Oryctolagus cuniculus: one gene and its partner. The protein of the gene in region 1 interacts with the protein of each later gene in a pairwise test. Links are inferred from orthologs where the notes say so. Each region holds a gene or a part of one and is shown on either strand. Other genes may lie near its edges. The genes, in order: ZFYVE19 and VPS4B.

Region 1 (15,240 bases):
AAAGACCATGAAGATCCTTTCCAACTCTGCTGTGATACATTCTTTTTGCCCCTCAAGGTATGCACAGAAACAGCTCTTCCCAAAGTCTGCCCTGATCCTGCCAACCATACGAATGTCTTCCTCTTTATTCCTACAGTATTTTCCTTGAATACTTTTTTTTTTTTTTTTTTTTTGGACAGGCAGAGTGGATAGTGAGAGAGAGACAGAGAGAAAGGTCTTCCTTTGCCGTTGGTTCACCCTCCAATGGCCGCCGCGGTCAGCGCGCTGCGGCCGGTGCACCACGCTGATCTGAAGCTGGGAGCCAGGTGCTTCTCCTGGTCTCCCATGGGGTGCAGGGCCCAAGCACTAGGGCCACCCTCCACTGCCTTCCCGGGCCACAGCAGAGAGCTGGCCTGGAAGAGGGGCAACCGGGACAGAATCCGGCGCCCCGACCGGGACTAGCACCCCGTGTGCTGGTGCCGCAAGGCGGAGGATTAGCCTAGTGAGCTGCGGCGCCGGCCCTCCTTGAATACCTTTATAGAATCACTTTCATTCTACCTCAGGGCCCGTTGTTCACTACACTATGTGAGCTGTCAGAAAGCAGGAGTGATGGCTTACTCAGCTGGAACATCTCAACCACAGCCATGTGGTATACCTTGTCCACAACGCCAGGCTCCATTAACTTAGGGAACTAAACAGTGAACTCTGTGAGCCTCATTTTGTTTATGATTCCCTTCCCGCTTCCCTGACCACCGCCCCAGTGAAAATCACCGGGGTGCTGTTAGGTGAATCTGCACTTACCTGCCAGGACCGGAATGAGTAAAAGGGGGAAGGGATGGAGGGCAATGTTGGACACTGCTGGGGTGGCTCGTGTGAGGTGTGAAGGAGACAGAACCACAATGACAACAGCAAGAGTTACCTAGGAAAGTGAGCACTCCCACTGTGCCAGGCACTGTGCTAAGTGCCTTAGGTGGACCAAGCCTCACAACGATGCTATCGTCATTCCCATTTGGGCAGAGAGGTTAATTATTTGTCAGGGTCACAGACTAGGTAAGTCGTCAGTCAGTATTCAGGCAATCTGACTCCAAGGTCCACTTTCTTAATTATAACTGCTAATAAGTACAAAGGTGCTTATAAAGGCACATTTACAATCCCCAACATTGCTCAATGTTCCAGTTAGGATTTCCACCCATTCTCAACATGACAGATGCTCACCAAGCAAGAGTTCTTGGCCTTACTTGCCAAGAGTCGTTATAAAAACTGTTATCTTCTACACTAAGAGTCTTTCTAAGAAATCATTAGCTGACTGGAAAATGTGAACTTCTAGGAGAATTACCAATGTTAGCCTGTGCATTTCAAAATGATAGGTCTGGGGAGTGCTGGCTGAATCCCAGCTGCTCCACTTGCAATCCAGCTTCCTGCTAATGGGCCTGAGAAAGCAGCAGATGATGGCCCAAGAACTCCAGCCCCTGACACCCACAGGAGACCTGGATGGAGTTTTAGACTCCTGACTTCAGGCTGGCCAGCCCCAGCCATTGCACACATTTGGGGAGTGAACCAGCAGATGAAAGATTTGTCTCTGTATCTCTGTCATTCTGCTTTTTAAATAAACAGATACATCAAGGGGCCGACACTGTAGAGTAGTGGGTAAAGCTACCGCCTGCAGTGTCAACATCCCATGTGGGCACTGGTTCGAGTCTCAACTGCTCCACTTCCAATCCAGCTCTCTGCTGTGGCCTGGGAAAGCAGCCAAAGATGACCCTGCAGCCACACGGCAAGACCCAGAGTAAGCTCCAGGCTCCTGGCTTTGGACTGGCACAGCTCCGTCCATTGCAGCCAAGCGGGGAGTAAACCAGTAGATGAAAGATCTCTCTCTGTCTCTCCTTCTCTCTCTGTGTAACTCTGACTTTCAAATAAATAAGTAAATCTTTAAAAATAGAAAAAAAATGTTGTTTGTGGACAAACACATGGAGAAAGGGAAAGGAAACAAAAAAGAACCAGGGAGAACTGTATCCAGGTTGGTTTCATAAAGGTTCAGCATTTCCTGCTCTGGGTACAGCACTGCACACTTAGCACCCTGCTTTTGAGACAGGACTGCGGGCAGGGAGGCCAGCGCTCTCCTACCCACCTGGTGGAAGTCAAAGTACAACCGCCCCAAAATTTCTATGCCTCTTGCAAGAGGGAGGGAAGGGTGGGAAGAATCACTATGTTCCTAAATTTGTATGTATGAAATGCATGAAGTTTGTATACTTTAAATAAAAGGTTTCTAGGTAAAAAAATAAATTAAATAAATTTTAAATAAAATAAAAATTATTATGTCTTTTAAATAAATAAAACTCATTTTCATTATGAATCAAAATGTTGTAAAAATAATTGTTTTTGGTCTAGTAATTCCATTTAGTCATAAAATAATACTCCTAAGAAAACAATAACTAGGGCTGGTGCTATGGGATAGCAGGTAAAGCCTCCACCTGCAGTGCTGGCATCCCATGTGGGCAGTGGGTCGAATCCCAGCTGCTCGATTTCCAGTCCACCTCTCTGCTATGGCCTGGGAAAGCAGTAGAAGATGGCCCAAGTCCTTGGGTCCCTGCACCCACATGGGAGACCTGGAGTAAGCTCCAGGCTCCTGGCTTTGGATTGGCACAGCCCCGTCCATTGCGGACAAGTGGGGAGTGAACCAGCAGAAGGAAGATTTTTCTCTTTCTCTCTGACTCTCCTTCTCTCTCAGTGCAACTCTGACTTTCAAATAAATAAATAAATCTTTAAAAAAAAAAGAAAACAATAATCACAAAAAGCAAAAACAAAAACATAGCACCTGTGCAGATTGCGCAGTTTGGATGGCCCCAAGTTTCCTTTTCAGGTTGTGGGGTCTCGCTGCAAGGGTCTCTGCAGTGCGGCCGGAGCCATGCCATCCAAGCGCCCGCTACAGTCCTTTCAGGACTTCGGACGTGCTGCATATGGGACAACGGCCTCATCAAGGTGAACAGGAAGCCCCTGAAGATGATTGAGCCACGCGCATGGCACAGTACAAGCTACTGCAGCCTGCTCTGCTTCTGGGCACGGAACAATTTGCTGGCGTGGACATCCATGTCCAAGTGAAGGGTGAAGGGTGGTAGTCATGTGGCTCAGATTCATGCTACCACCAGTCCATCTCCAAACCCCTGCAGCCTGTTACCAGAAATATTTGGAGATCGGGCCGGCACCGCGGCTCAATAGGCTAATCCTCCGCCTGCGGTGCCAGCACACCAGGTTCTAATTCTAATCCTGGTCAGGGCGCCGGATTCTGTCCCGGTTGCCCCTCTTCCAGGCCAGCTCTCTGCTGTGGCCAGGGAGTGCAGTGGAGGATGGAACAAGTCCTTGGGCCCTGCACCCCATGGGAGACCAGGAGAAGTACCTGGCTCCTGCCTTCGGATCAGCGCGGTGCACCAGCCGCGGCAGCCATTGGAGGGTGAACCAACGGCAAAAGGGAGAGCTTTCTCTCTCTCACTGTCCACTCTGCCTGTCAAAAAAAAAAAAAACAAAAAAAAAAAAAAAGGAAAGAAATATGTGGAGATCAAAGACATCTTCATCCAGTATGATGAGGACCTGCTGGAAGCTGAACACCCCACCCCACCCCCGCCACTGCCAATGCAAAAAGTTTGGAGGCCCTGGTGCCGGTGTTCACTACCAGAAATCCTACTGATAAGCCCATCACCAGGATCAGGGGTCAGCTCTATAATATATGGTGGTTGTAGGGCAACATCCACAACAACAAAACAATAATCCTTATTCAGTCAGTCACCCAGCAAGGATTTACTGACCATCTATGAAGGACCAGGCATTGGGTGGGTGTCTGGCACAGGGGTTAAGTCACTACTTTAGACACACATATCCTACACTGAAGTGCCTGGTTCAAGTCCTGATTCCTCTGCCTCTGATCCAGCTTCCTGCTACTGCACCCTGGAAGGCAGCAGATGCTGGCTCAAGTACTTGGGTCCCTGCACCCACATTTGAGAACTGGATGTAATTCTAGGCTCCTGGCTTCTGCCTGGCACAGCCCGGGATGTTGTGGGCATTTGGGAAGTGAACCGGCAGAGGGAAGATCTCTCTTTGTTTTTCAAATACAATGAAAATACATAAACATAAAAAAAAATGCAGTCATCTGGGAAGTGAACCAGGGGATAGAAGATCTCTCTAATTCTGATTTTCAAATAAATAAATAAATCTTTTTTATAAAAAAGGAAAGAAATGTTGCTGAGGATACAAAAAAATAGAAGCTCATATGCACTGTTGGTGGGAAGGCTGAATGTAAGGCAGTTCCTCAAAACGTTAATCACAGAATTACCACGTGACTCAGCACTTCCACTTCTGGATACACCCCAAAGAATTTAAAGTGGAAAGTAAAACAGATCCGTACACCCACGTTCATACTAGCATTACTCACATCAGCCAAAAGGTGGAAACAACCTAAATGTCCATCAACAGATGAACGAATAAAAAAAATGTGGTACATTTGGGGCAGGCATCATGGCCCAGCATATTAAGCCACCCCTTTTTTAAAAAATTAAAAAAAAAAAAGATTTATTTTAAATGAAAGAGTTACAGAGAGAGGGAGAAAGAGAGAGAGAGAGAGAGAGAGAATGAGAATCTTCTATCTGCTGGTTCACTCCCCAAGTGGCTGCAATAATAGAAGCTGGGCGGATCTGAAGCCAGGAGTCAGGAGCTTCTTCCAGATTTCCCAAGCAGGTGCAGGGGCCCAAGGACTTGGGCCATCTTCTACTGCTTTCCCAGCCCATAGCATAGAGCTGGATTGGAAGTGGAGCAGCTGGGACTCAAACTGGTGCCCATGTGGGATGCCGGCGCTGTAGGCCAGGCTTTTAACCCGCTGTACCACAGTGGCAGCCCCATTAAGCCACCTCTTGCAACATCCACATGCCTTATCAGAGGTGCCAATTTGAGTGCCAGTTGCTCCACTTCTGATCCAGCTCCCTGCTAATGTGCCTGGGAAGTAGCAGATGACAGCCCAAGTACTTGAGTCCCTGCCACCATGTGGGAGACCCGGATGGAGTTTCTGGTTCCTGGCTTTGGCCTGGCCCATCACCGGCTATTGCAGGCATCTGGAGAGTGAACCAGTGGATGGAAGATTTCTCTGTCTCTTGCTGTCACACTCACCCTGTCACTCTACCTTTCAAATAAATAAATAAATCTTTTTAAACTTTTTGAATTTTTTTTTTGTTATTGAGTTGTGTTTGTTTTTACAATCTTGGAAAACCTGAAAAGCATTCTTAATTCATTTTTTAAAAAGGCCATTGGCCATTGGATCCCTAAAACCACAGTTCGCCTTACTCCTTCATTTTCCATTTGGGGAAAGTCAGGACCTGAGAGAGACAGTGACCGCCCCCAGTCTCCTGATTCTCAAGTCAAGCTGCTGCAGTGATCTCTGTAGCTGCTACATCATTCACTAAACAAATAGTTCCCGAGAGCCTACTATGTATTAGTCATCATCTACCAGACCGGAGCACAGAGGGGAGTATGCACGAGACGAAGAATCACACAGATGAACAAATGGTTGCCAACTGAAATAAGTGCCGGAAAGGAGAACTGGTTACTAAGAAACAGGGCCACAGGCTGGGCCTCCATGGGGATGCCACCACGTTTCAAGGCCTACCTTCTATGACTTCCTAGCTTGTGCTCTAGACAAAGTGGACTATACACACTGTCTCCTTTATTGGAATGCCAGTCTTCCACCTCCACCTGTCCAAATCCTGCCCCCTTTTCAAAGCCTCAAATGCCTTCCCTACTTTCCCACCTCTTCTCCCAATCCAGAAGCAATCCTGGCCTACTCTGAACATGCATAGCATTTTGCTTTATCTGTCTTGTGGAATGCACCACGTGCCCCTTGAATTAGTTGTGCATGGAAATTGCCTCCCCTACTAAAAGGCAGCAGTGGCTGTCACCCTTCATGCAGAGCCTTCTCTCATATTCTTATCTCACCTGAGTGAGAACTCTCAGCAACCAGTGCCCAGCTTAGTCTGTTGCCTGGACAACAGCCACCCACCACTGCCCTCCAGGGCCATTCCGCACACCGATGTTGAACATTTTACCGAAAATCCTATTATGTGACCACTCTGATTAATACTATAATACACTTCAACGGTTCCCAGTTGTCTTCCTCAAGAGTTCTCAACTTCAGGGTTCCAAACTCCAGATTTCACACTGGCTGGGTCTTGTGTGAAATGTCCCAAATATTTTCTCACTATTAATAAAGTACTAGTTATACAACTTACAAATATAGAGTACTTGGAATACTGTCTGGCATACAGTAAGCATTACACAGGTGTTAGGCACAACTAATACTGAAATATTAAGAATTATAAGAGGTGGAGCAGGTGCTTTCGGCCTGGGTAGAACATCCCCACAGCCACTCTAGATTTCAGCTGCAGCTGCAGGAGACAGTTCTGAGCAGGATGGCAACACCTCTTCTCAGGGACTCTCTAGGTCTCCTGGCTTCTCCGCCCCAGTTTCCTCTTCTCAGAGCTCGCTCAGCCCCTGAGCAGGGAAATCCGGAAGTACAGGGGCAGAGTGGGCTTTAATTTTCATCCCATCAATTATCTGCCTCTCCTTGCTACGGTGTTAGAATTACTACCGCGATGCGGGGCGATAAGCCTCTGCTTCATCACGGTTTCACACCCTGGCACCTTCATCAGCCCCCATGGGAAGAGGAACCCCAGGCCACCCGCCTTGCCCTTCTGACCCTTGCTTTCTTGGCCCATTTACTAGCAGGTGCTGTGAAAGCCAATACCTGAACACCTGCTACTTCGAAAGCGCCCTTGGGCTAGAGTGGGTCAAAGGCCACACCGCCAAGAAGTGATGAAGTGGGAGTGGAGAAACCTCGAGGGCTGACCTTTCTTCCACTCCAGGTGGAGCTAAATCAGCCTGCCAAAGAGACTGAAACGAAGCGCCTTTAGCCACAGCCAAGCCCGAAGCGGACGCGGAGGCTGAGACTGCGCAGGCGCAGAGAGGAGGCTGGGCCTCCCCCACCCCGCAGGCTCACCCCGCGGCCTCTCCCACGCAGAAGCCACAGGGCGAGCATGGACACTCGTCGCAAGGACACCTCTGTGCTCCCCGTCCCCTCCCCGTGAGGTTCTCAGAGCGTCCAGGAAAGGTCTGGGGGCCCACCTTGCGAGCTCGTCGGGCAGCCCCTCGCTCCCCGCCCAGGGCCCGGCCGAACCTGGAAAGCAGGTACCCGCGGCGAGCGAGGCGCCAGCACAGGAAGGGCCTCCAGACCGCTCAGGATCGGCCTTCTTCTCCACCGTTCTCACCTCTTTGTCCGCCGCCTTCTCTTCAATACCTAGTAGCGCGTAGAGGTCCATCTGTAAGAGCTCCTTGGTGACCGCCATGGTTCCAGCCCTGACTTGACTCGTACTACAACTCCCAGGAGTCTAAGCGCACGCAGGGCCTGCCGGATGCGAGCGGGCCAGATGGCGCTTAGCCTCTTGGGAATTGTGTTCTAGGTTCGGCTTGACTGGCTCTGGTGGAGGTGGCAGTCATGAAAGGACTACGATTCCCAGCAGCCCCGCACTCGCCGCCGCCCCGCCGCCGCCGCCGCCGCCGCCGCTCCCTGGCTAGTTGGTAGAGCGGGCGTTCTGAGTCCCCGCCCCAGGCCACAGCCCGATCGCTTGAAGGGGGCGTGTGGGGCTAGGCGACGTAGGGTGAGGGTCCCAGGGGCCCTGGACCGGGTGGGCGTGGCCTCCACTTTGCAGATCGTGACGCGCCGGGATCCACGATGGAGAACAGATGCTACTGCTGCGCTGTCAAGTTCACCCTCTTCAAGAAGGAGGCGAGTCTTCTCTCTCCGAGGTCTGAAGGGCCAGGGAGGACGCGGAGTGCGGGGGAAAGCACGGGACTTGCAGTCCGAAGACTTGGTTTCAAGGCCGCTTTCCAGCTGTGTGGTTTTGATGACATCATTGAATCTGTCTCCCAAGTGGGGCTCTCACTCTCACTCTCGCGTTCGGGGTTTTCGTGAGGGTCCAGTGAGTTGCTGTAGATGAACGTAGCCTATAAGTTGTTAAGCACGCTGCTGCCGTTGTTGGAAAGTTGTGCCTTTCCGCCTGGTGTAGAGTCTGGCTGTTTCCCTCTCACCATCCGATCTTGTGTAATGCCCGGTGACCCCGTGTATCACACCGTGCCAGTTAGTGCCATCCCGCAGCCTGCACTTACCCCCCCCCCCGCCCCCACCCCCAGGGCGCGCGGGGGAGGCTCTCTTGTCCTCAGCACTGATCTGCTAAGTTCCCCTGGTTAAGTGCAACCTCGGTTGTGGCCAGGGCACCTCAATCAGGAAGTGATGGAAACAGATGGGCTGCATGGATGGCACCGAGGGAAGCAGACCTACAGTAGATGCCTGGGTTTGGGAGTCAAGGAGCTCTGCTGGCTCCTTCACGGGGTGACTTTGGGCACCCTCTCTGCCCCCTCTAAACTAGTGGTGACACTGGTGGCCATCAGGATCAGGTCAGATGACGTGTGTGTATCGTTGAGGATTCAGCCAGATGATGAAAGCTACGTGCTGAGCTTAGTGCCTGGCACACAGTAAGTGCTTAATAAATGCAAGCTATTGTTATCCCCCCATCCAGAGCCAAGTTGCCCTCTGGAGCAGAGAAGGCGGAGGCCGGGAACTCTCTCATTGTCTTTGTGAAAGAATCCCATGGCCCTAAGCAAAGGGCTTTGCCTGGCCGTCTTTTGGGTGCTGTGTCAGGGAATCGAAGACATCAGAAAACAGGGGATTTTGCATGAAGCTTTATTTTATTTGAGTGAGGCTGGAAACCGAGCAATTGCTTTCCCCTTCACCCCTGTCTCCCTACACCTTAGGGACCCCACTCCTCTTCCTCCTCCAAGCAGCCCGTCACAACTTCAGTGTCTCCTCTCTCCCTCTCTCTGTGCTTGGAGAGCCTTCGGGGTACGGGCGGGAGGAGGATCCTCCTGCTTTGTGTTTCTTGTAGTGTGGCTGTAAGAACTGTGGGCGAGCCTTCTGTTCCAGCTGCCTTCGCTTCAGCGCAGTGGTACCTCGTGCTGGGAATACGCAACAGAAAGTCTGCAAGCAGTGCCATGAGGCCCTCACCAGGTAGGAGGCCTGGCTGGGCGAGGAGCCAGCCTGGCATGGCAGCGGCATAAGCCAGCCCTCACAGCCTCGTGCTCTGCGGCTGGAGGTCACCCAGGGGGTGTCTGAGGGCAGTGGACACTGACCGGTGGGGTGGCAGGACTTCCGACACTAAATTTCTTGATTTTTTTCTCTATAGTGGGTCTTCTCCTGCCAATGCTTCCAAGTGGTCACCACCTCAAAACTATAAGAAGTAAGTGTCAGGTTTGGAATAGCTTGGGATTCTGGCCTTTCGTCGCCCCAGAAAGGAGAGACAGAAAAAGGAGATGGAGCCAACGGGTGGGCCTCCCCTCCCAGCCTCCAGATCAGACGAGCATAGGGCCAGGAGGTTGCCCCCTCTCAAGCCACTGTGCTCAGAGAACAGCCCATCATCTTCTTCTGGGAAAGGCCCTTGGTGGCTCTCTCCCTCTCAGACCCTCTGGCCGGTCGGCTGGCTTGGGCAGCAGGGCAACACAAGCAAGGACCACAGGAGACTGCCCATCCGAGGCCTCCCTAGGTGCCCAGAGATGATCTGAACTGGAAGCAGTCAGTGGGTGCCTTCACTCCTCCCTTCTGCCTCTCTGAGAGCCTCTCTCATATCCTGCCAGGCGCGTGGCAGCCCTGGGAGCCAAGCAGGAGTCCAGCACCCTCCGGAGCCAAGGACTCACCCAGCAAGACCAGGTCATCGCTGAGCGCCTGGCCCGACTCCGCCAGGAGAACAAGCCTAGTGAGTGGGGGCAGGCAGGAGGCCTAAAGGACATGGTCCAAGGCCTTGACACTGGGGTTCCTCCGGTCCTTACCTGGGTCCTCCACGCCTATTACAGAGTCGGTGCCCTCGCAAGCTGAGATAGAGGCACGGCTGGCCGCGCTCAAGGATGAACCCCAGGGCTCCATCCCTTCCACCCAGGAGATGGAGACACGGCTTGCTCTACTGCAAGGCAGAGCTCCGCCTTCTCAGACCCCCAAGCCGGTGAGTGCTACAGCCTTGCAGGGAAAGTTTCCCAGGCCAAGGGCCTGGCAGGAGCCCGGATATGCTTATGCCCACCTCTACCTTCTGAGCCTCGGGCATGGGCAGCAGGACCGGGTGGAACAGGACAGAGAGGACCCTCTGTCCTGTTGGGGACCGCCAGTCCTGCTTAATCAGCACGCCCTGGATTCGGCTCCTTGCCCTGGGCTCTGGTCCAGCCCAGGCTGATTCTCGGCCATTCTGTGTGGCTCTCTCCCTACCTCACTCCCCACTGAGCTCCCCTCGTCTGGGCAGGCACATCAGGGCCCAGACATCAGGACACAGGCCCAGCAGACACAGGACCTGCTAACGCAGCTGGCAGCTGAGGTGGCTATTGATGAGCGCTGGGAGCGAGACAGCCCAGGTAAGCCCTGCATTGGCTCCCTGGGGACCTGCCTCCCCTCCTTCCCCAGGTGAATGTGAATTGGGGGAAGGGACACTCGCCGGAGCAGCTGCCGTTTCCTGCGTGCTTGCCCGAGGAAGCCAGGGTTAGCCTGGTCGTTAAGGGTGTGGACTTTAGATCAGCGCTTCCCGGTTCTGCCACACACTAGCTCTGGGAGCCTAGGCGTGTGTCTCTCACGGCCTCAGTCTCACTTTACTGTCAGGAAATGGAGGTATGGCCATTGCAACCGACTTCACAGTGTGTACATGAGATAATCCAGCAGTGCTGGGGACCACACATAGTAAGTGCTCAGTGGTTGTTCTGAGATGAGGATCATGACGACGACAAGGAGGTGCAAGAGACTATTTAACTTTAGCTTTATTAAAACTAAATAAAATGCAAAATTGGCTCATGGCTCCCATCATGTACGTGTAGGCAGAGAACCTGCAGAATGACGCTTCCATCGTCATAGAATATTCTGTTGGATGGTGCTGCTTAAAGCCTTCAGAGCAGTGGTTCTCAACCTGGGATGACGTCACATCCCAGAGCATTCTTTTTTTTTTTTTTTTTTTTTTTTTTTTAAGATTGATTTATTTATTTGAAAGGTGATTACAGAGAGAAAGAGAAAGAGAGATTTTTTCCTGGCCAAGGTCCACACGTTAAAATGTCAGGTGAATGGGGGTGGCGGTGGTGGAGAAAGACAGTTGGAACAGAGGAGGAAACACCAGTGTATTTGAAGATGGACCACAGACACTTGTGCTGAGCAGAAAGCTGGTGATGGTGGTTAAGTAGTTGAGGAATGGGCTCGGTGAGGAGAGGACCTGGAAAGCCTCGGCTCCCTGACCACGTTACTCCTTCCAGCTGCCTGTCCCCAAAATGACCTCAACCAGGGTGGCCCAGGGAGCCAGAGCACTCGTCCCCAGCGGCAGGCCAGCTCATCCCTGGACGAGGAGAAGAGCAGGCTGCTGGCCGAGGCAGCCGTGGAGCTACGGGAGGAGAACACGAGGCAGGAGCGGATCCTGGCCCTTGCCAAGCGGCTGGCTGTGCTGCGGGGACAGGACCCGGAGAGAGGTAAAGGCTGGCGCTGCTGCCCTGCCAGGGCTCGCTCGCTGCTGGTGTCCGTGTGCCCAGAGCTGCGTCATGCCCTGCCTGGAGGCAGAACTGGGGCAAAGCAGTGACTGAGGAATCAGTGGCAGCCATCAGGGTGGGGCCTCTGGTCCATATGGGCACTGAGGCAGAACCAGCTCCACCCCCAGCCCTCAAGGCCACATCACTGATGGCCCGGTTCTGCCTGTTAGGGCACCGCTCTGATTAGAGGGGCTGCGGAGGCTTCTCAGCTCCGGAACAGGTGCCCCGGGAACCAAACCAGCCGCAGGAGGCAAGCAGTCAGCCACTCAGGTGGAGTCCCCGGCCCTCACTCCCCCTTTCTGGCCCCCTCCCACTTCTAGTGACCCTACAGGACTACCGCCTTCCAGACAGCGACGACGATGAGGATGAGGAGACAGCCATCCAGAGGGTCCTGCAGCAGGTGGGTCAGGCTCACCTCGTCCTGTCTCTCTGCCTCCTTGTACACTACCCACTGGGCCCTGTTCACCCTGCCTCCACCTGCGGGCTGCATGCGCAGCCACCCTGGCTCCCAGCCCCCTGGGGACTCCACTGGCCCTCTGACCCAGACCTGGCCCCTCGTCCCTTGAGATGGGAATCAGCAGCTACTGCCGATAGATCAAGGAAGATGGGCTGAGGGGGGAGGCAGAGGGGGAGCCTGGGCGCGGGGCCGGGAGTGGGACCTCTTTGCCCTACACACAGCTCACTGAGGAAGCGGCCCTGGATGAGGCAAGTGGCTTCAACATCCCCGCACGGCCGGCTCCCCGACCCCGGGCCCAGGCCCGTAGGGCAGAGCCTGAGGTAAGGAAACCCCCCGACAGCCGTGCGCCATGCAGCCCAGCCTTGCTCCCTGCCTGGCTGACTGCTCCCCCAGCCGCCTCCCAGACTGCATCAGGGACCTTCCTGCCCTGTCCCCTCTGGTCCCTGAAGGCGCAGGCCAAGGCCACCACGCCTGAGGCTGAGGACGAGGAGCTTCCCTGGTGCTGCATCTGCAACGAGGATGCCACCCTGCGCTGCTCAGGCTGCGACGGAGACCTCTACTGTGCCCGCTGCTTCCGGTGGGTGCAGACACCACGTCCTGGGGAGGGCTCGGGAGCCACCCTGGGTCCCTGACCTGCACCCCTTCCTTCTCAGGGAGGGCCATGATGCCTTTGAGCTAAAAGAGCACCAGACATCTGCCTACCGGCCCCCGCACAGGGGCCGAGTGCACTGAGGACACCCGGGCCTCCTGGGAAAGCAGAACTACAGGCTGCCACACCCACCTCCGGGCCCGGCCTCGGGGCGTCCATGGCAAGAGCGGCATGAAGGCCACAGCCCTCCCTGAGCCTCCCAGCCCCTGGAAGCATGTAGGTTCTCCATCAGAGACAGCGACTGGAGGAGCGGAAGGGAGGCGAAGGCCAGACTGGAAGTGAAAGGCCCAACAGGGAAAGATCAGATCTCAGGAGCAGCCCTGGAACCTGGCTCCAGGGCCCCAGGGCCAGCCGCTGGCATCTAGTGGCTCTAATAAAGTGTGTTGATTCATTGCATCCGGTATCTCTTCTCTCAGAGAGGCGAGAGGCGGCCTGAGTGTGGGGCAGGGTATAAAGGCAGTCCTGTGGAATGAAGGAGCCGTCCTGTTAGCTTCTCCAGACAGGAACAGTCCCACCCACCCTGGTGACCGCCTACTAAGTAAGCATGAATATTCAGGCACCTGAACTGTGCTTCAGGCTCTGGGCAGCCCAGCTTAGCCACCAGGCCGCACCATCTTGGATCTCTGCTTCTCTGGTACTCAAACCATGCATACATACCTGCTTCCTGCCTCGGAGGAAGTTCCATTCCAGCCTGCCTGCCACCCAGATCTGGTGTCTGTCTTCCAACAACTCCCCTGACCTCAGTCTGTACCCTTCACCTTTCTCTGCATCACCCAGGTTTTTCTCTTCCTGCCTCCAGCTGGAACCAGCTCAAAGGAGAGTTCTTAGCCTAAGACTTCTTGCCTCATTTGTGAGAACAAGAAGGTCTGGGGTGGGCTTTTGCACAGTGGTTAGGCTGCTGCTTGGGATGCGATGCCTACATCGCATATTGGAGTGCCTGGTTCAAGTCCCCAGCTCTGCTTCTGATCCAGCTTCCTGCGAATGTGCCCCCTGGAAGGCAGCAGGTGATGACTCAAATCCTTGGGTCCCTGCTGCACACCTGGGAGACCTGGGCTGAGTTCTGGGCTCCTGGCTCTGGCTTGGCCCAGCACTGGCTGTTACAGGCATTTGGGAAGCGAACTAGCAGATGAAGATCTCTTTCTGTCTCTCTGCCTTTCAAATAAAGTGAAAATGATTAAAATTTTGTTTAAAAAGAAGTTTAGCCTTCTCTGAAGCCCCAGATTGAGCTAGATTTTTCCTGTTACTCCATTCTGGGATACGAAGCTAGTCCTTGCCACTTGGGCCCTCCCATTGGCGATGCCAGTATGCTGTGTGTTGGCTCTTGGCATGGCCCCTGGGCCTCGCTGGATTGTGATCTCTCTGCAGCAGAGCTGTGACTGTCCTCTTTGGATGGATGGATGGATGCAGTGTGGGGCACAGCCTTGTGACTTAGGATGCTGGCATTCCAAGGTATCACTGCACCCTCTCCCTCCCCTCTTCCTCTGCACAGAGATGCTCCACACTCCATTTAGCTGATGCTGCTAAAAGTTTTATCCATTTGGCAGCCAAGAAAAGCACTGGGGAACAGCCATAAGTGGCTCTCGGAGCCCAGCCAACAGAAGCCAGCTGTGTGCACATGACCGGGTGTACAAATGTCCCTCCTTGTCCTCGGTGTCCCTTGCCCATGTCCTGGGGCGCTGTGTCCCTCAGCTGTGATGCAGGGAGGCCTGGCAAAGCATCTTGTCTCCAGGCTTATTTCTGAGGCCGGCTGAGTCTCCGGAATTTCTTGAGTTGGCTGAGCAGCTCTGAGATGAAAGGCTGAGGAAGACACATGAGGGACAGCAGGCGTGAGGTCTCATGTGCCGCACTGCCCTCCTTAGCTCCCCACAGCAGGGGAAGGACCAAGGCGCCTGGGCCAAGCCTCGCCCTCCATTAGCTCCCTTCTCCCACCGCCAGCAGCACATCCCTTACCTCCGTGGGGCGGGGACAGTTTCGGAGAAGGTCCTGGGTGGGAAAGAGCAGAGATGGGGTCCCTGAGCCACAGTGCTTTCGCCCGAGCCCCCCACTCAGTTGCCTAAGAATTCTGCCCTCTGAACTGGGACTTCCCACTCCAACCAAGTAGGCAGAGCCTGGGTTCCTGGACTGCCCTGGATGGGAGCCCAGCTTCCACCCCGAGCCTACCTCCAACTGAGTCTTCTGCTCCTCTGTGGAGAGTTCCATGAGAGCCTCCAGGTCAATCTCAATGTCAGCAGTCACTGACTCATCCTGTTTGGGAATCGCAAACAAGTCTCAGAGGGGCCTGACCAGCTGGTGTTGGAGTGGAGGTTATGGTCAGGGGTTCACCCATCTCCCACCCCATCTCCCTTGAATTTCCCACATCACCCGCCAATTTCCTCCCACATTCAGCCCTTTTCCTCACCTTACTCAGAAAGTAAAAGTACTTTAGGGCCAGCACTATGGCACAGTAGGCCAAGCCTCTGCCTGTGGTGCTGGAATCCAGTATGAGTACCAGTTCGTTTTCTGGCTGTTCCTCTTCCAATCCAGCTCT
Region 2 (15,109 bases), on another chromosome or scaffold:
ATAGCTACCAAAGGACCAATGACTGTTTAGCTAGAAAATAAATCATGGGTCTTCATCATGTGTTCTACCTTAAACTATAGCCAATTTATTTTTTCTCATGACACAATATCTGCTTTAAATATGTTCAGTGTCAAAAAATTATGTGTATTCACCTTGAAAAGGAAGATGGAACACAGTTTAGATTTCCACAAAGACTTGCACGAAGTCCGTACAATGAGATTCTACAAAAGTGAATACAGCATTATACCATTTCAAAAAGAAAAAAAGAAGCTACTACAGACATCATATTTGAGCCTCTCTGGTCCAGTACATGATTGCTGGTCTTACGCTGCATGCACTTCATTTCTGCTTAATGTTTTTTGGTTGACTTGATTTTGTAATCAAAGGGACAATGAACAACTAAACAACTAATGTAGGCTATAATTACCAAGAAATCGTTCACTTAAACACCAAGAAGTGAAATTCATTTGCTTATAGAGGTGGACATTAGCTTGATGATAACATTATTGCTGTTTGGGAGATGGTGCTAATCTTTTTGGAGGATGGGGGATGGAGAGTGGGGTCTCCTAGATCCTTCTCCTGAAACTAGTCCATAGACTATAAGTGATTCCAGTGCAAACCCTCTCCCCAGATCTATGTGTTGATGTAGTGACAGTGATCTGGGGGAATTTTGCCTGTATGGAAAAACAACAACAACTGGAAAGAATCACTGTGGACAGCAAGGGCGTCTGCGTCCAAATTATTTTTGCTGCTGGAAGAAGTATTGGTCAACATGTTTTGAAGGCTCAGAGACAAGTTCCTCTTTTCTGAATTAATTGCTTCTGCTCCATATGAGTCCCAAGGTAGCACTTTACAGATAACTGTTGTCTTAGTCTCATAAACATAAATTACAAATATATATATATACACATATATGTAGTGCCAACAAAAATTCTATAGTTGCTTGTGAATGCAGTGTTTACTATATAAAACCTTACATATTTCTTTTCTGTTAAGAGGAAAGCATTCATTCCTCCGGTCTCTTTTATAGAAATATGTTCTGAAATACTACTATGGGGGACGCACACCAAGGTGGCCTCAGTGAATCATGCATTGTCTGGAGCTCAGGCAGCACCCGTGACTTGCTTCAAATCAACAGAATACAGGTAATGTTAAGCGGATTTTGCAGATGTAATTAGCTTGGAGTTCAACGAGGAAATTATCCTGGTGAGTCAGACCAACCATATGAACCCTTTAAAAGAGGGCCTGAGCTTTCCCCAAAGTCAGAGACTTGAAATCAGAGACTCAACATGCGTGTGTGCATGTGTGCGCATACGCAGGAGTGTGCATGTGTGTGCGCATATGTGTGTGTGTACTTTCCTGGCTTTGAAGAAGCAAGCTGTCAGTCATCCTGAATCACAAGGAAATGCATTCTGCCCACAACCTCAGGGAGCTTGGGAGCATACCCATTTCTGGATAAACCTCCAACCAGAGAAACATGAGAACACAGCCCAGCCTCTACCTTGATTTCAGCCCTGTCAGATCCTGAGCACAGAACTCAGCTAAGCTGTTCTTGGACCCACAGAAGCTGTGAGAAAGTAAAAGCATGTTGTTTTTAAGTGGCTGAGTTTGTACTAGTTGGTCATGCAGCAATAGAAAACCAATACAATCATATTTAACATTTAAAATGACTGTATATGAGACACTATAAAGTTTAGAAGAAGAAGACGGCCCGGCGCCATGGTTAATCTTCCACCTGCGGTGCCTGCATCCCATATGGGTACCGGATTCTAATCCTGGCTGCTCCTCTTCCAGTCCAGCTCTCTGCTGTGGACCGGGAGGGCAGTGGAGGATGGCTCAAGTGCTTGGGCCCTGCACCCGAATGGGAGACCAGGAAGAAGCTCCTGGCTCCTGGTTTCGGATCGGCACAGCGCCGGCCGTGGCGGCCATTTGGGGAGTGAACCAACAGAAGGAAGACCTTTCTCTCTGTCTCTCTCTCACTGTTTATAACTCTACCTGTCAAATAAATAAATAAAGAAGAAGACAAGGATACCTACTCTTGAACTTGATTTTTATGAAAAAAAGAGGCAAAGATACCACTGTTCGCGGAAGTTTTTATTATTGACCTAGAAACTTAGGAGCATATATTGACAATCTATTAGAAACAAGGTAGCAGCCAAAATTAACCTCTGCATATATACCACAACCCACTAGAAAATATGAGGAGAAAATATATTATTAATGATAGAACAGTAACATAATAAAATACTTAGCAATTGTTCAGAAAATATATAAAGCAAAAGAAAGCACTATTAAGAAACATACAAGGATACTCGAATAAATAAAGATATAATGTTTTCTTAAATCTGAGGAAATGCAGTACTATAAAGAGGTCCATGTGGGACCTGCGTCGTGCTGCAATAGGGTAAGCTGGCCCTTGAGATGCCGGTATCCCGTACGAATGCCGGTCTGAGTCCCAGCTGCCCCATTTCTGATTCAGCTCCCTGCTGAAGTTCCCAGTTGGAAAGCAGCAGTAGGTGGCCCAAGTGCTTCACTTCCAATCCAGCTCCCTATTAGTGTGCCTGGGAAAGCAGAGGAAGATAAACTGAGTGCTTGGGTCCCTGCCACCCACAAGGGAATTCCTGGCTCCTGGTTTGACATGGCCCAGCCCTGGCCCACTGCAGCCATTTGGAGAGTGAACCAGCAGGTAGATGATTCTCTCTCTCTCTCTCTCTCTTTCAATCTCTCTCGATCTCTCTTTGTCATTCTGCCTTTCAAATAAGCAAATATTTTTTAAAAAATAATCCTCTTATAGAAAACTTCACTGGTTCAATGAACTCTACAACCTTTCTCAGATGAAATCATCAATTCCTGGCCACTCCCTTGTCACTACTGCCACACTCATCTTCCCAGCCTGTCCACCCCACACTGCACTATTATGGAGCAAACTGTGAGTACATTGCAAAGCATATTTTAGATTACAAAACGCAATTTTTCCTAATGCATTGGCAAAGATCAATGAATTAGAATTCATTTTGCTGAGAAGTTTGAAAGGGAAAAAGCCAGAATAATACAGCTTCCAGCTGATACCCTGAAAGTTCTCCACCTCTCTACAACAGAAGGAGCACTCTCAGCCACAGATGTTTGAATACAAAAACTAAAACAAGGGCAAACAAGGCATTTTGGTGGGAAGAAACAAAAGACGTTCAAGACAAGAAAAGTTGGGCAGGAGTGGGGAATGGTGTTTGAAACCAACTTTTTTTTTTTTTAATTTTATTTATTTGAAAGGCAGAGTTACAGAAAGAGGGGAAGAAAAGGAGAGATCTTCCATCTGCTGGTTCACTCCCCAAATGGCCACACTGGCCAAGGCTGGACCAGGCTGAAGCCAGGAGCTTGGAACTCCATCTAGTTCTCCCAAATAGCTGGCAGGGGCCCAAGCACTTGGAGCACCTTCCAATGCTTTCCTAGGCGCATTAGCAGGAAGCTTGATGGCAAGTCGAGCAGCGGGGACTCAAACCAGTGCTGATATGACATGCCAGCCATGCAGGCGGCAGCTGGACGTGCTGTGTCACAACGCCAGTCCCTGAAACCAACTTCTTAGGCACATTACTTGGATACCAAGTATTTGCAGTCTGGGAGATGATGATGTCAGTCTGCAATCTTCCCCGCCGGGCGGATGCCTCACACTGTACCCACCCTGTGTCGTCAACGGGCAGGAACGGCCACCTCCTCCCCACTCACAGCACGTGGCTGGTGGCTGGTGAGGGCTGATCCCCAGACCTGCTCAGCAGTCCACAAGCTGGCTGTCTCTTCACGTGAATCAAATGAGTAGTAGGGGCTGGACCTGCAGGGTAACTGGGCACATTCAGAAGGCTCCACCACCAGTCAAGACCCAACACATAGGGCCTGAGAGTCACTCCTCTCACAGCACTGGTCCTGCCAGCACTGTCTTCCCCGAGGCTGCTGTCCGCATCAGGCAGGGAGCTGACAACAAGTAGAGACCTGACTTCCAAGTGCAAGGCTGTGTGAGGACTCTAATACGCATTTCCTTTCAAAATGGTCTGAGTGAAAGGGATTCAGTCCTGAACAGGCTGCTCTTGAGTCCAAGCTGAAAGCTGACTCTGAAATGCCGCCTGCCTGCTCCCTGGCCTCCCTCATTTCCCTCTCAAGCAGGTAAGCTTCGCTGTGTTCAACAGACCTTGGCCATATAAGCCAAACATTCTGGGTGTAAGGACATAAGAAACTACAAAAATGAGTAAGACGAAGGCTGAGTCCTTGGGGGTTTTACAATCTGGAAAGACAAGACACATGCCAGGGAGGCTGACAATGAGTAAGTATCTGCCAAGTGCCAGGCGCTGTACTAGGCAATCAGCACACATCACCTGTGGGACGTGCAAGGTCCACAGGGCAATCAGAGTGGAGAGTGTCAGAGGCTCCTTGAGGAAGTGGCTTTGGAATTGGCACTTGAAAAATCGGTGTGATTTTATTTAACAGGCTGAATCAGTGAAAGCAACTGAGCATAAGAGGCAAGGAAGTGTAGGGAGGGGCTGTGCCCCAGGAACAAGGGGTGCCCTACAGGGCTCTGCACACCTCTATTTCTCCATTGTGACTGCCCCAGCAACCTCCGACATGATCTGCCCACGTCACCCTCTTCCTGGTCCACTCATCTTTATAAAACCAAAATCAAATCAAATCATACCTCTGCCAAGAAGGCAGGCAGGAAGGGAGAGAGGCAGGGAAGGAGGATGGGGAATGGGGGAGGGGGGAGCCGCTCAACAAATCCTTCTGCCCTCAGAGTAAAGTCCAAGTCCAACTCCTCATGATTCAATGCCTTGGGCATCTGGAGGTGCTGGGTGGGGCACTTTAAGCTTCCTTGGCCACTCCATTGCCATGGCTCTCCTTCTTCCAGCCAGCCCTCAAACCTGTCTGTCCAAATCAGTAAGATTGGGTTTATTTTTTATTTTTTTTAAGATGTATTTATTATTTATTTGAAAGTCAGAGTTACACAGAAAGAGGAGAGGCAGAGAGAGAGAGAAAGAGGTCTTCCATCTGCTGGTTCACTCCCCAGTTGGCCGCAACAGCTGGAGCTGCGCTGATCCAAAGCCATGAGCCAGGAGCTTCTTCTGGGTCTGCCACATGTGTGCAGGGGCCCAAGGACTTGGGCATCCTCCACTGCTCTCCTAGGTCACAGCAGAGAGCTGGATTGGAAGTGGAGCAGCCCAGTCTCCAATCAGTGCCCGTATGGGATGCTGGCACTTCAGGCCAGGATGTTAACCCACTGTGCCACAGTGCCAGCCCCAAGACTGGGTTAATTTATTTTATTTTATTTTATTTTTTGACAGGACAGAGTTAGACAATGAGAGAGAGCGAGAGACAGAGAGAAAGGTCTTCCTTCCGTTGGTTCACCCCTCAAAAGGCTGTCACGGCCGGCGTGCTGCGCCAATCTGAAGCCAGGAGCCAGGTGCTTCCTCCTGGTCTCTCATGCGGGTGCAGGGCCCAAGCACTTGAGCCATCCTCCACTGCCCTTCCGGGCCACAGCAGAGAGCTGGACTGGAAGAGGAGCAACCAGGACAGAATCCGGAGCCCCAACTGGGACTAGAGACCACAGTGCCGGCGCAGCAGGCAGAGGATTAGCCAAGTGAGCCGTGATGCCAGCCAAGACTGGGTTTAAATGACACTCCTCCAAGATGGCCCTAACCACTGGCTCAGGATGGAGTACTCTCTCTCCTGTGGCCCCACGGGACATCCTGACTCTATTGTAGCTCTTGTCAGGGCCTCATCTGACATTGACCCTGGATGGACTTCAGACACCAGCCATGCCAGAGAAGAGCTGTATGGTTCGGGGAACTTCTATTGATCTGAGGTTTAGTTCTCATTTACATGAACTGCCAGCTTTAAATTCTAACTGGCAGAGCTAGTACGTGAAAGTACTTTGTAAACGGTTACAATGTAACATATTTACATTTGGGTTTTAAATATGTGAAAGGAAAAAAGTTTCTATTCCACTAGAATCTAAGGTTCCAGGGAATAGGAATTTCAAAAAGAAAAGCTTTTAGTTTCAAACAGTATTTACAGAAGAGTTGCAAAAGTGTGTAGAGAATCCCCATCCCGGACTGCTGGCTCTACTACAGACGTTATTCTGTTTTAGTTTTCCAACGGATACTTTTCTTTCCGGCATCTCCTCCAGCACCGCATTTAACTGGTGTCTCCGTCTGCAGCCTGTGGCCGGCCCCAGTCTTCCCTGGTCTTCCACGACCCAGACGCTTCTTGAAGCGTGTTGGTTAGCTATTTTGTAGTAGGAACACCTCCGACCTGGATTTTTCTCGTGTTTTCTCAGGGTTAGCCTGAGATTACAGATTCTTGGCAATAATGCCGGAAAGGTGATGTTCCTTTCTCATTGAACACCAGGGCCCCAGGGGGTACATCACATCCACAAATAAAAAAAAAAGTTTTTTTTTTCTTTTCACTTTTTGTTCATAGCCAGCATTTAAAATAGACTGGCACACACGGATCACCATAAATCTCATTCAATTCGTCGAACCATTTGGTGTCTTCTCCACTAAACTTCTAAAATAGCAAGAACCCGATTATATTCATCCTCATGGTTTCCTGATGCTCAGCTCTTTCTTTCCTTTTCTTTCTCCCCCGCCCCCCACAGCAAACACTCCCCAGCAAAGTCAATACCCCGGAGGGCTAATGAAAGTCCTCCTGCGCTTGCGCGCAGCCTGGCTCTCTGCCTCTAGAGCGCAGGCGCAAAGCCAGACTTCCGCCAGGCGTTGGCTGGCTTCAGGGATACTTCTTGGGAAGTCCCTAGCCACAGTGAGAGGCCGACAGGGTGGTGACTGCGTAGAGCGCGTGTTGATGACGGAAGCGGAAGTGCCCCGGCCAGAGGCGGGACTAGGATCCGAAGGGGCTCGGGTTTGCGGAAGTTTTGAAGAGGGTCCGGTGCTGGCGAGCGCAGTGTTGTTTCAGAACAAGTTCCGGACAGAAGGCCTTCGCTTGTGATCCGAGAGCCACCAGCTTCCCCAGGTGTGGGGCCGTAACACTGGGCACGATCCGAGGTCCCTGCTCTCGGCTCTCCTCGCACCCCGTTGGACCCCGGGGAACCGCCTCGCGTCTCCACCATGTCATCCAGTAGCCCCAATCTCCAGGTATCATGCTACCTGCGCCGCCCTAGAGCAGTTGGGTGGGGGGCGGGGAGGAGGGAAGACCGGCCGCGCCCCTGCCCGGGCGGAGGAGGGCGGGGCCGGGCGCGGCCGCTGGTCGGGGAGTGGGCGCCTTCCAGCCGAGGGGGCGTTTCCGGCGGGCTGGGAGGGTCTCCTGGGCCACTGGCTGTGTGACACCCTTGACTTGGTGTGGAGCTTCTAAACGAAACAGAAACAGGAAAGCACCAGCCGAGCTTGGACCAGAGTGGGCCAGTGTCTCCCATCGCTGCAAAGAAGAGAGGCAGGAACGTAGTTTTTGCCGGCTGAGCGTAGGGTGGTCCCACTTTTTTGTGTTCCTCGAGCTGATAGAGCCAAAGTCCTTTTCTCGAGCTGTCAAGTGGCAGAAATATGAGCACAGCCTTGGAATCCGAGGTTCCAGCCAGCCTGCGTGCAGTCGCCGCGAATTCGGGGTGTGTGTGCGTGTGTGTGCGTGTGCGCTGTTCTGAGACGCCCCATTTGTCATCTTTAAGAACAGGGGGCATCTGTAAACCTCCGTGCCTCCAGTTCTTCGCTTTCACCGCAGTGAGCGCAGCATTTTGTACGTAAATCATGGACTTCAAAGATTTGAGACTCAATCGTTAGTCGCCTGTAGAGTGGAATTCTTAATAAGAAATGTATGTAACGTTGTCTTCCACCCCCAGAATGGATCTGGGACTTAAGAGGGGCTTGGGCCTGGAGGACTCCCAGTCCTGCCTGTCAATTTGGTACAGAAGTGTCCCATGAGACGTGTACTTTCCGTCGTCGTCTTGGGCTTCCAGTAGTTTGTTGGACAGGCATTTATTTATTGAGGGCCCGATACAGACTCCAAAAGTAAAGAGCGCTCTCCTTAACCCTGGGTACTCCATCCTGAGGGAAGACCACCCCAGCAGACCCATCTAAACAAGAACGTGGGAGAAGAGCTTGCTTAGGACGTTTACGTTGAAACTGGACCCAAAAGATTATGAAAATAAATGCTTTATAGCATTCACAAAATGTTATAATTGCAGGAATCATTCATTTCTTAGAATTAAGAAAAAGTTATATGTCTTTTTCCACTAAGGTATTAAACTGAGATGGGGCAGTCGCCACGTGATCCGGAGATGTTTGATAGCCCCATTCAGAAACGATCTTTCTGGTAAATGTACCTTGTAGAAATATCTATTGTTTGGTAAGATATTGTTCCTTTGAGTATTAAAGGTGATTTTAAGTTCACACTTGTCATCACCCTCGTTGGTTGTCTGTTAACTAGTTTTATTTTGTCAGCTTTTCATTTGTCACAAACTTTGAGTCTGATCCGGGCATTCCACAGTGAGATTTTCATCCGTTTGCTGATACCTTTCTTCTGCGAGATTTGCCGTTTTCTTCTGTAATCAGAATGCATCAACCTGAATTGGATTGTTGTATGTTCTTCAGTGAATCAGCTAGAGTTTGACAGGTGTTAAAGGCCAGTAGTAAACAGGAAGGATGTTGAGTTACGGCTTTGATTAGGGGTTGACTCACTCTTGTGTTTCTCATTGAACCCTTTCTTTTCTTTTTGAGGAAGACAGATATATATGGAGAGAGTTCCTTTCTGCTGGTTTACTTCTCAAGTGCTGGGTTTGGGCCTGATCAAAGTCAGGAGCCAAGAACTCAAACCAGACCTCTCACGTAGGTGACAGGAAGCCGTTTACTTGAGCCATCACCACTGCCTTGCAGGATTTATACCAGCAAGAAGCTGAAGTCAGGAGCCAGAGCTGGCATTGAATCCAGGCATTCTGGTACAGGACATGGGCATCTTAACTGGAGTCCTAACTGCTAGGCTGAACTCCCGCCCCTCATCAAGTCCTTTGAATGAAAACTACTCGGATAATGAATAACCTTTCCAGTGAGCAAGGCAGAAACCTCTGTAGCCAGATGCTCATAATGTAAAAATCAAAATAATAAAAAGTAATTTAACAAATACTGGGATAGAGTTAGAAGTCAGTGTGGGAGCACAGAAGGAAAGGACGTATCTCAGTCTTCCGAGGACATGACGAATATGTCACAGAGGAGCTGATGTGCGCTTCGATAAAGTGAACAGTGCTAACACTAATTGTCTGTTTGGTGTTTGATGTGCTCTCACTCAATCCTTAAAACAACTTTTCAAGGTGGAGTCTCACAGTATAAGAAACCTAAGCTTGTTAAGCTTATGGTTGACCCAAAGACATACAAGTATTAGTATGTAGGTTAGTTTTGAATCCAGATCTGTCTACTGAATTCACTACAAAACTGAACTCTCTTGAAAAAGTTGAATGCTTTCCAGGCAGAGAAAAATGACTTGTTCCTCAATCCAAAAGTGTAATAAATCCTTTGGGGAGAATTGCAAGTAATGTAGATGAAGTAGAACTCAAAAGTTTACTCATCCTAAATATTGTGTCCACAATGCCATGTTGTGTATGTGTCTGTGTGTAATCTGTGACCTCAGAAGGCTTACATGCTGATGTGAAACTAGACATACAAGTATAAGATGACCAATAGAATATAGTGTGGTCATAGAAGGTATGTACAGGGGGCAGTGGAAATCTAGAGGAAGTGCAGACAAAGCAGTCCAGGGGTTGCTAGCAAGAGCTTTGCAGCAAGAGTGCCATGCCTGGAGAGCCCTGGAGAAGCTGGAGTTTTACAGGGATGGGTTGGAATAGAGCATTCTGGGCAGACATGCGTGCTGAGCTGGACTAGGTCATGCCAGTAGTTTGGGATGACTGGGACTTACTGTAAGGTGGGGGCACAAGCCCGAGGGTTAGGCCCTATCACGAGGAGTCTTGTGTGCCACATAAACAGTCATCATCCTGTTCTACATGGGAGTCATAAAAGGGTTTCCAACAGTGGAGTAACCTGCTCAGGTGTTTTGTTTTAGAATGAGACTGTCCTGTGTACAGGGAGAAACTGGACTGGAATCAGGGAGACCAGTTAGGAGTTGGGGTCTGTTGATGGCAGAACGTAAGGGGCCACCTTAGCGTAAATACCTTTCTCAGTGAAGCAGAAAGGTATCGTCGGAGAAAAGTTGGGGAGGATAGTCAGGCTTGTGCCTGTGAGGGAAAGAGAAAAGGCAGGGTTTCCTCCCAGGATTCTGCATTGGATGTCTGAGTGGAATACAAAAGGAGAAGTATCAAGGAGTGTTATGGGACTGACATAGAGAAGCAAAATAGCTTTAGCTTTTGTTGAGTTTAAAATGTCCGTGCAGCAGGACAAGCATTTGGCCTAACAGTTAAGATACCTGTGTCTCATGTTGGAGTGCTTGGGTTGATACCCACCTCTGACTCCTATTTCTACTTCCTGCTGATGCAGACCCTGGGAAGCATCAGATGATGGCTCAGGTAGCTGAATCTCTGCCACCTATGAAGGCAACCTGGATTGCGTTCCCAGCTGTGGATTTCAGCCTCAGCCCAGCCATAGCCCTTGTGGACATTTGTGGGGGCAGGGTGACCCAGCAAGTGGGGTGCTCACTCACTTTCTCTCCTCTCTTCCCGTCCTCCTCTCAAAATGAATACAATTTTTTTTAAAAAATAAAATGCCCATGGGCATAATCAAATGGAAATGTCCAATCAGCATCTGAATACAGAAGTGTAGAACTAGGGTGAATGGCCTTGGATGTGAATAAGGATTTTGGAGTTATTAGTATAAAGATGGTAGCACAGGTTGTGGGCATGGTGAGTCCCATCTTGGAAAGTTTACAGAATGAGGGAAAATAAGGACCAGGGCAGAACCTCATGGGATATTGACATTTAAGGAAAGAGAAAAGGGAATCTGAAAAACAAGCAGTGGACAGCTCAGTAAAATCATGGGAGGATGCTGTCCTGAAGGCCAAAGAGGAGACACTGTCCAAGAGTTTGTTGTTAGTGTTAAGTGCTGTAGGGAGGGAATTAAGGTGAGATTTGGCAGTCAGGGCAGAAAACACTGCTGTGGCGAAAGAGCTCAAGAAACATGAATTTGGGGTACTCTGAGGTTTTGCTTAGAAGAACTAAGTAAGATGGTGGCAAGAAAGGACCCTGGGAACTGAAGAGAGTTGGTGAATTTTAGGTACGAGTCTGAAATGGGACTACACATGTTTTTCTGATAAGGAAGGACCTCTCAAACAAGGGACAGGTTGAGGAGAGAGCATGCCATGGCATGCCATTGAGGGCGTAAATGCTGCAAAGGTGGGGACCAGCTCAGAAACACAGAAGAATTAGCGTTGACTGCCCTAGCACATCTTTGCTCCTGAGGTAGATAGCCAGTTTGCAGGGGTTTCTAGGGCAGATGCACTGTGGTCTCCTAATCTGGAAAGGGCTGTCCCAGATGTTCCCAACCTTTGTACTTCCATATTGATAACTGGGTGCTGCCTGACCCTGGGGCAGTGAAGTCATTCACTCTCATGCTTGCCATTGTGCTAGTCTTGGGAGTATGAGCAAGTGCAGACCACAGACATAACTCCTGTCCCTACAGAGCTTCCATTCCAGTGAGAGAACAAAAATAAAACCCACGTAGGTTCACAGAGAGAGGGATAACATGCCTGGAAGGATTTTAAACAGGAGTGATGTGGACAGCTGTGTTTTATTTTGAGAGACAAAGAGAGAAAGAGCTGGTATCTCTTGTTTCACTTTCCAAATGCCTGCAACAACCAGAGTTGGCCAGGGCTCAAGCCAGAAGCTGGGAAAGCAATCTAGGTCCCCTAGTAGGAACCCAGGTGTCCCCATGCCCCTCAGGCTCCACATTATCAAGAAGCAGGACTTAGAAACCAGAGCAGGGAATTTAACCTAGGCACTGTGATGTGGGAGGCAGGCATGTTAACTGCTCAGCGTATGGGTTTTAAATTGAATTAACTGGGTAGTCATCAACCCAGAGATCATCAGCCATGAATCACTGAAAATAGACAACAGGCGGGAGGAGGAACAGTAAGCAAATGTGAGCCCCAAGCAAAACCTCATCCTATAAGAGGATGTAACCACAGAGGAGACTGAAAAGTAGCTGCCAGAGAGCTAGGAAGAAAACCAGGAGAATGGTGCCAGTGGGCTCAGCAGAGGACAGTGTCCAGGAAGCAAGTGATGGACCTTGTTATCAGCAGACCAAGGTGAAGACGGAGCTGGTCCTTGAGCCTGGCACCGCAGAGTCCCTTGATGTGATAAGGAGAGAATAGAGGCTCCGCTGTTGAGATTGTGGCTCTGACAGGTAGCAGAGAAACAGATCCAAGATGGAGAGTTATTAGTCTTTTTTTTTTTTTTTTTAGCGATTTATTTATTTATTTGAAAGTCAGAGTTATACAGAGAGGAGAGGCAGAGAGAGCAAGGTCTTCCATCCGATGGTTCACTCCCCAATTGGCTGCAACTGCTGGAGCTGCTCCGATCTGGAGCTGGAGCCAGGAGCCTCCTCCTCCAGGTCCCCCGTGTGGGTGCAGGGGCCCAAGGACTTGGGCCATCCTCCACTGCTCTCCCAGGCTACAGCAGAGAGCTGAATCAGAAGAGGAGCAGGTAGGACTAGAACCGGTGTCCATATGGGATGCCGGTGCGTCAGCCAGGGCGTTAACCCACTGTGCCACAGCACCACCCTGAGTTATAGGTCTTTTTTAGGGAAGACTATTTGTCTCCTGATGGAGACAATATCTGGTGGAGAGAACTTAGAGATGACAGAGGTGGGATAACCAAACAGAGGAAGATTTTGAGAAAACAGGATTTTTTTTTCACTCATTCAGCAGTTGTGTACTGTAGCCATCACCTTCCAGCCCAGATTAGGTTGGTGATGGGAGTCCTGTTCTCATGAAGCTCGCCTTAGTAAAGGTACAGGTGGTCAGTGTGTTTAGAATAAATATACTGGTAACGATGGGAAAAGCGTGTGGGAGAGGGGACGTCAGGGATGCAGCATGTCCCTGACCTGCGGAGCACCTCTCTGAGGACTTGTCTCCGGGGTAGGTCTAGAAAGGGAGCCATGCTGCCTCAGCTTGTGGGAAGGAATTTGGCTGTGTGTTCAGACTGTTTGAACCATGAGAGTGTAACTGCTACACTTTATCAATTCTAAAGCATACCACTTAGCTTGTGGTTCCTCCCACAACAGAGGAAGTAGGTTCTCCATTGGGAGATTTGGTGCCATCCCTATCCACTCCATGAACACCTACTTAAAAGTATATCATTCTGACGTATGATTGGCTTTGAAATTGTTTGATGATTTTTACTTAGATTAATTATAACTTATTTTTAGTATTGGGTAAGCATGATCTTTTTTGTCTGCATTTATTTCACTTTTACTGCCGAAATTAACCCAATTGGAATGCTTTAATCATGCTTCTTTCTTTATTTGTATGTGTTTTGTGCATTGTTTTAAAATTCAAGGATAACTTTAATGAAAATTTTGTGTTGAGGTAATTGTACATTTGTATTCAGTTTTAAGAAATAATAGAGAGATCCGATGTACCCTTCACACAGTTACATCTTGTAAAACTAGTACAGTATCATAACCAGGATATTGACATTGGTGCATTCTACAGCTCTTACTCATATTTCCCCAGTTTTACCTGTGTGTGTGTTCCTGTGCAGTTCTATCAGGTGAAGGTTCATATGTGCAATACCATGATCAAGACACAGACCACTTCATAAAGAAGTTCCCCTTTCGGATTCCAATTCAATCCCATCAAGGTGGCATGTACCAATGCCATCTCACTATTCCAAGTGATCAATTTCAGTTCACAATTGATCATAATGAAAGGACTAAGAGTCAAAGGGAGCACATAAACAAGTCTAGTACCTGCTAACACTAACCGATGGAATAAATAAAGGGGAGAGTGATCCAACATGGGAAGTGAGATACTCAGCAGACTTATAGAATGGCAGATGTCCTAAATAGCACTCTGGCCTCAGAATCAGCCCTAAAGGCATTCGGATCTGGCTGAAAAGCCCATGAGAGTATTTCAGGCATGGAAAGCCAAGACACTCTGGCAAAAGATCTCTGCGAGTGAGATCCCAGTGGAAAGAACAGGTCTTCAAAGAAGGAGGTACCTTTCTCTGAAGGGAGGAGAGCCTCCACTTTGACTATGACCTTGTCTAAACAAGATAAGAATCGGAGAACTCAGAGGGCTTCCATAGCCTTGGAAACTCATGACTGGAGCATAGGGAGACTACTGATGCCATAGACAGGAGTGTCAATTGGTAAAGTCAACAACAGGAGTCACTGTGCACTTACTCCTCATGTAGGATCTCTGTCCTTAATGTGCTGTGTATTGAGATTTAATGCTATAACGAGTACTCAAAAATATATTTCACTTTGTGTTTCTATGGGGGTGCAAACTGTTGAAATCTTTACTTAATGTATACTAAACTGATCCTCTGTAAAAAAAAAAAAAAGAAATTATCAATTCCCAACTTGACTCTCACTGGGATTAAACATGACAATAGGTCTGATCTGATTTCATCATCATTTAAAAAAAATCATCTATTATTTTTCACTTTATGTTTCTGTGTGAGAGCAAACTGTTGAAATCCTTACTTAATGTATACTAAGCTGATCTTCTGTATATTAAGATAATCGAAAATGAATCTTGATGTGAATGGAGGGGAGAGGGAGTGGGAAAGGGGAGGGTAGTGGGTGGGAGGGACGGTATGTGGGGGAAGCCATTGTAATCCATAAATCGTACTTTGGAAATTTATATTCATTAAATAAAATTAAAAAAAAAAAAAAAAAAAAAGAAGTTCCCCTTTCATAACCACAGCCACCTCACTTTGTCTTCCATACACCATCCCTGTCTCCTGGCAGAACAAATTTGCTCTCCATCTCTAGTTTTGTCGCTTTGAGGGCATTATATAAATGGAATCATACAGTATGTAACCTTTTAGGGTTGGCTTTTTTCACCTAACATGATTCCCTCAGGATTCATCCCAGTTGTTTGTAACGGTGATTGATTCCTTTTGCTAGTGTACCACGTGGTTTAACCACGCAGCCCTTAAGGACATCTGAACATTCACGTA

The links.
Region 2: the proteins of ZFYVE19 (region 1) and VPS4B interact in binary tests that used the Homo sapiens proteins (3 or more experiments, as listed by UniProt). The two-hybrid records come from large-scale screens. The link is inferred for Oryctolagus cuniculus from reciprocal best matches to the Homo sapiens genes ZFYVE19 and VPS4B.

What each region holds. Positions count from the first base shown.
Region 1 is NC_091443.1:63,945,197-63,960,436, forward strand, and holds ZFYVE19 (abscission/NoCut checkpoint regulator), read left to right. Parts: upstream 1-7,617; 5' UTR 7,618-7,744; coding exon of another isoform or gene 7,745-7,755; coding exon 7,756-7,818; intron 7,819-8,954; coding exon 8,955-9,076; intron 9,077-9,251; coding exon 9,252-9,305; intron 9,306-9,699; coding exon 9,700-9,818; intron 9,819-9,915; coding exon 9,916-10,061; intron 10,062-10,352; coding exon 10,353-10,461; intron 10,462-11,340; coding exon 11,341-11,550; intron 11,551-11,927; coding exon 11,928-12,007; intron 12,008-12,285; coding exon 12,286-12,384; intron 12,385-12,513; coding exon 12,514-12,641; intron 12,642-12,717; coding exon 12,718-12,796; 3' UTR 12,797-13,109; downstream 13,110-15,240. Other genes in the region: DNAJC17 (dnaJ homolog subfamily C member 17), read right to left, coding at 7,281-7,358; PPP1R14D (protein phosphatase 1 regulatory subunit 14D), read right to left, coding at 14,445-14,510, 14,664-14,696, 14,874-14,957. UniProt on the Homo sapiens protein: Key regulator of abscission step in cytokinesis: part of the cytokinesis checkpoint, a process required to delay abscission to prevent both premature resolution of intercellular chromosome bridges and accumulation of DNA damage.
Region 2 is NC_091441.1:15,189,806-15,204,914, forward strand, and holds the start of VPS4B (vacuolar protein sorting-associated protein 4B), read left to right. Parts: upstream 1-6,766; 5' UTR 6,767-7,103; coding exon 7,104-7,130; intron 7,131-15,109.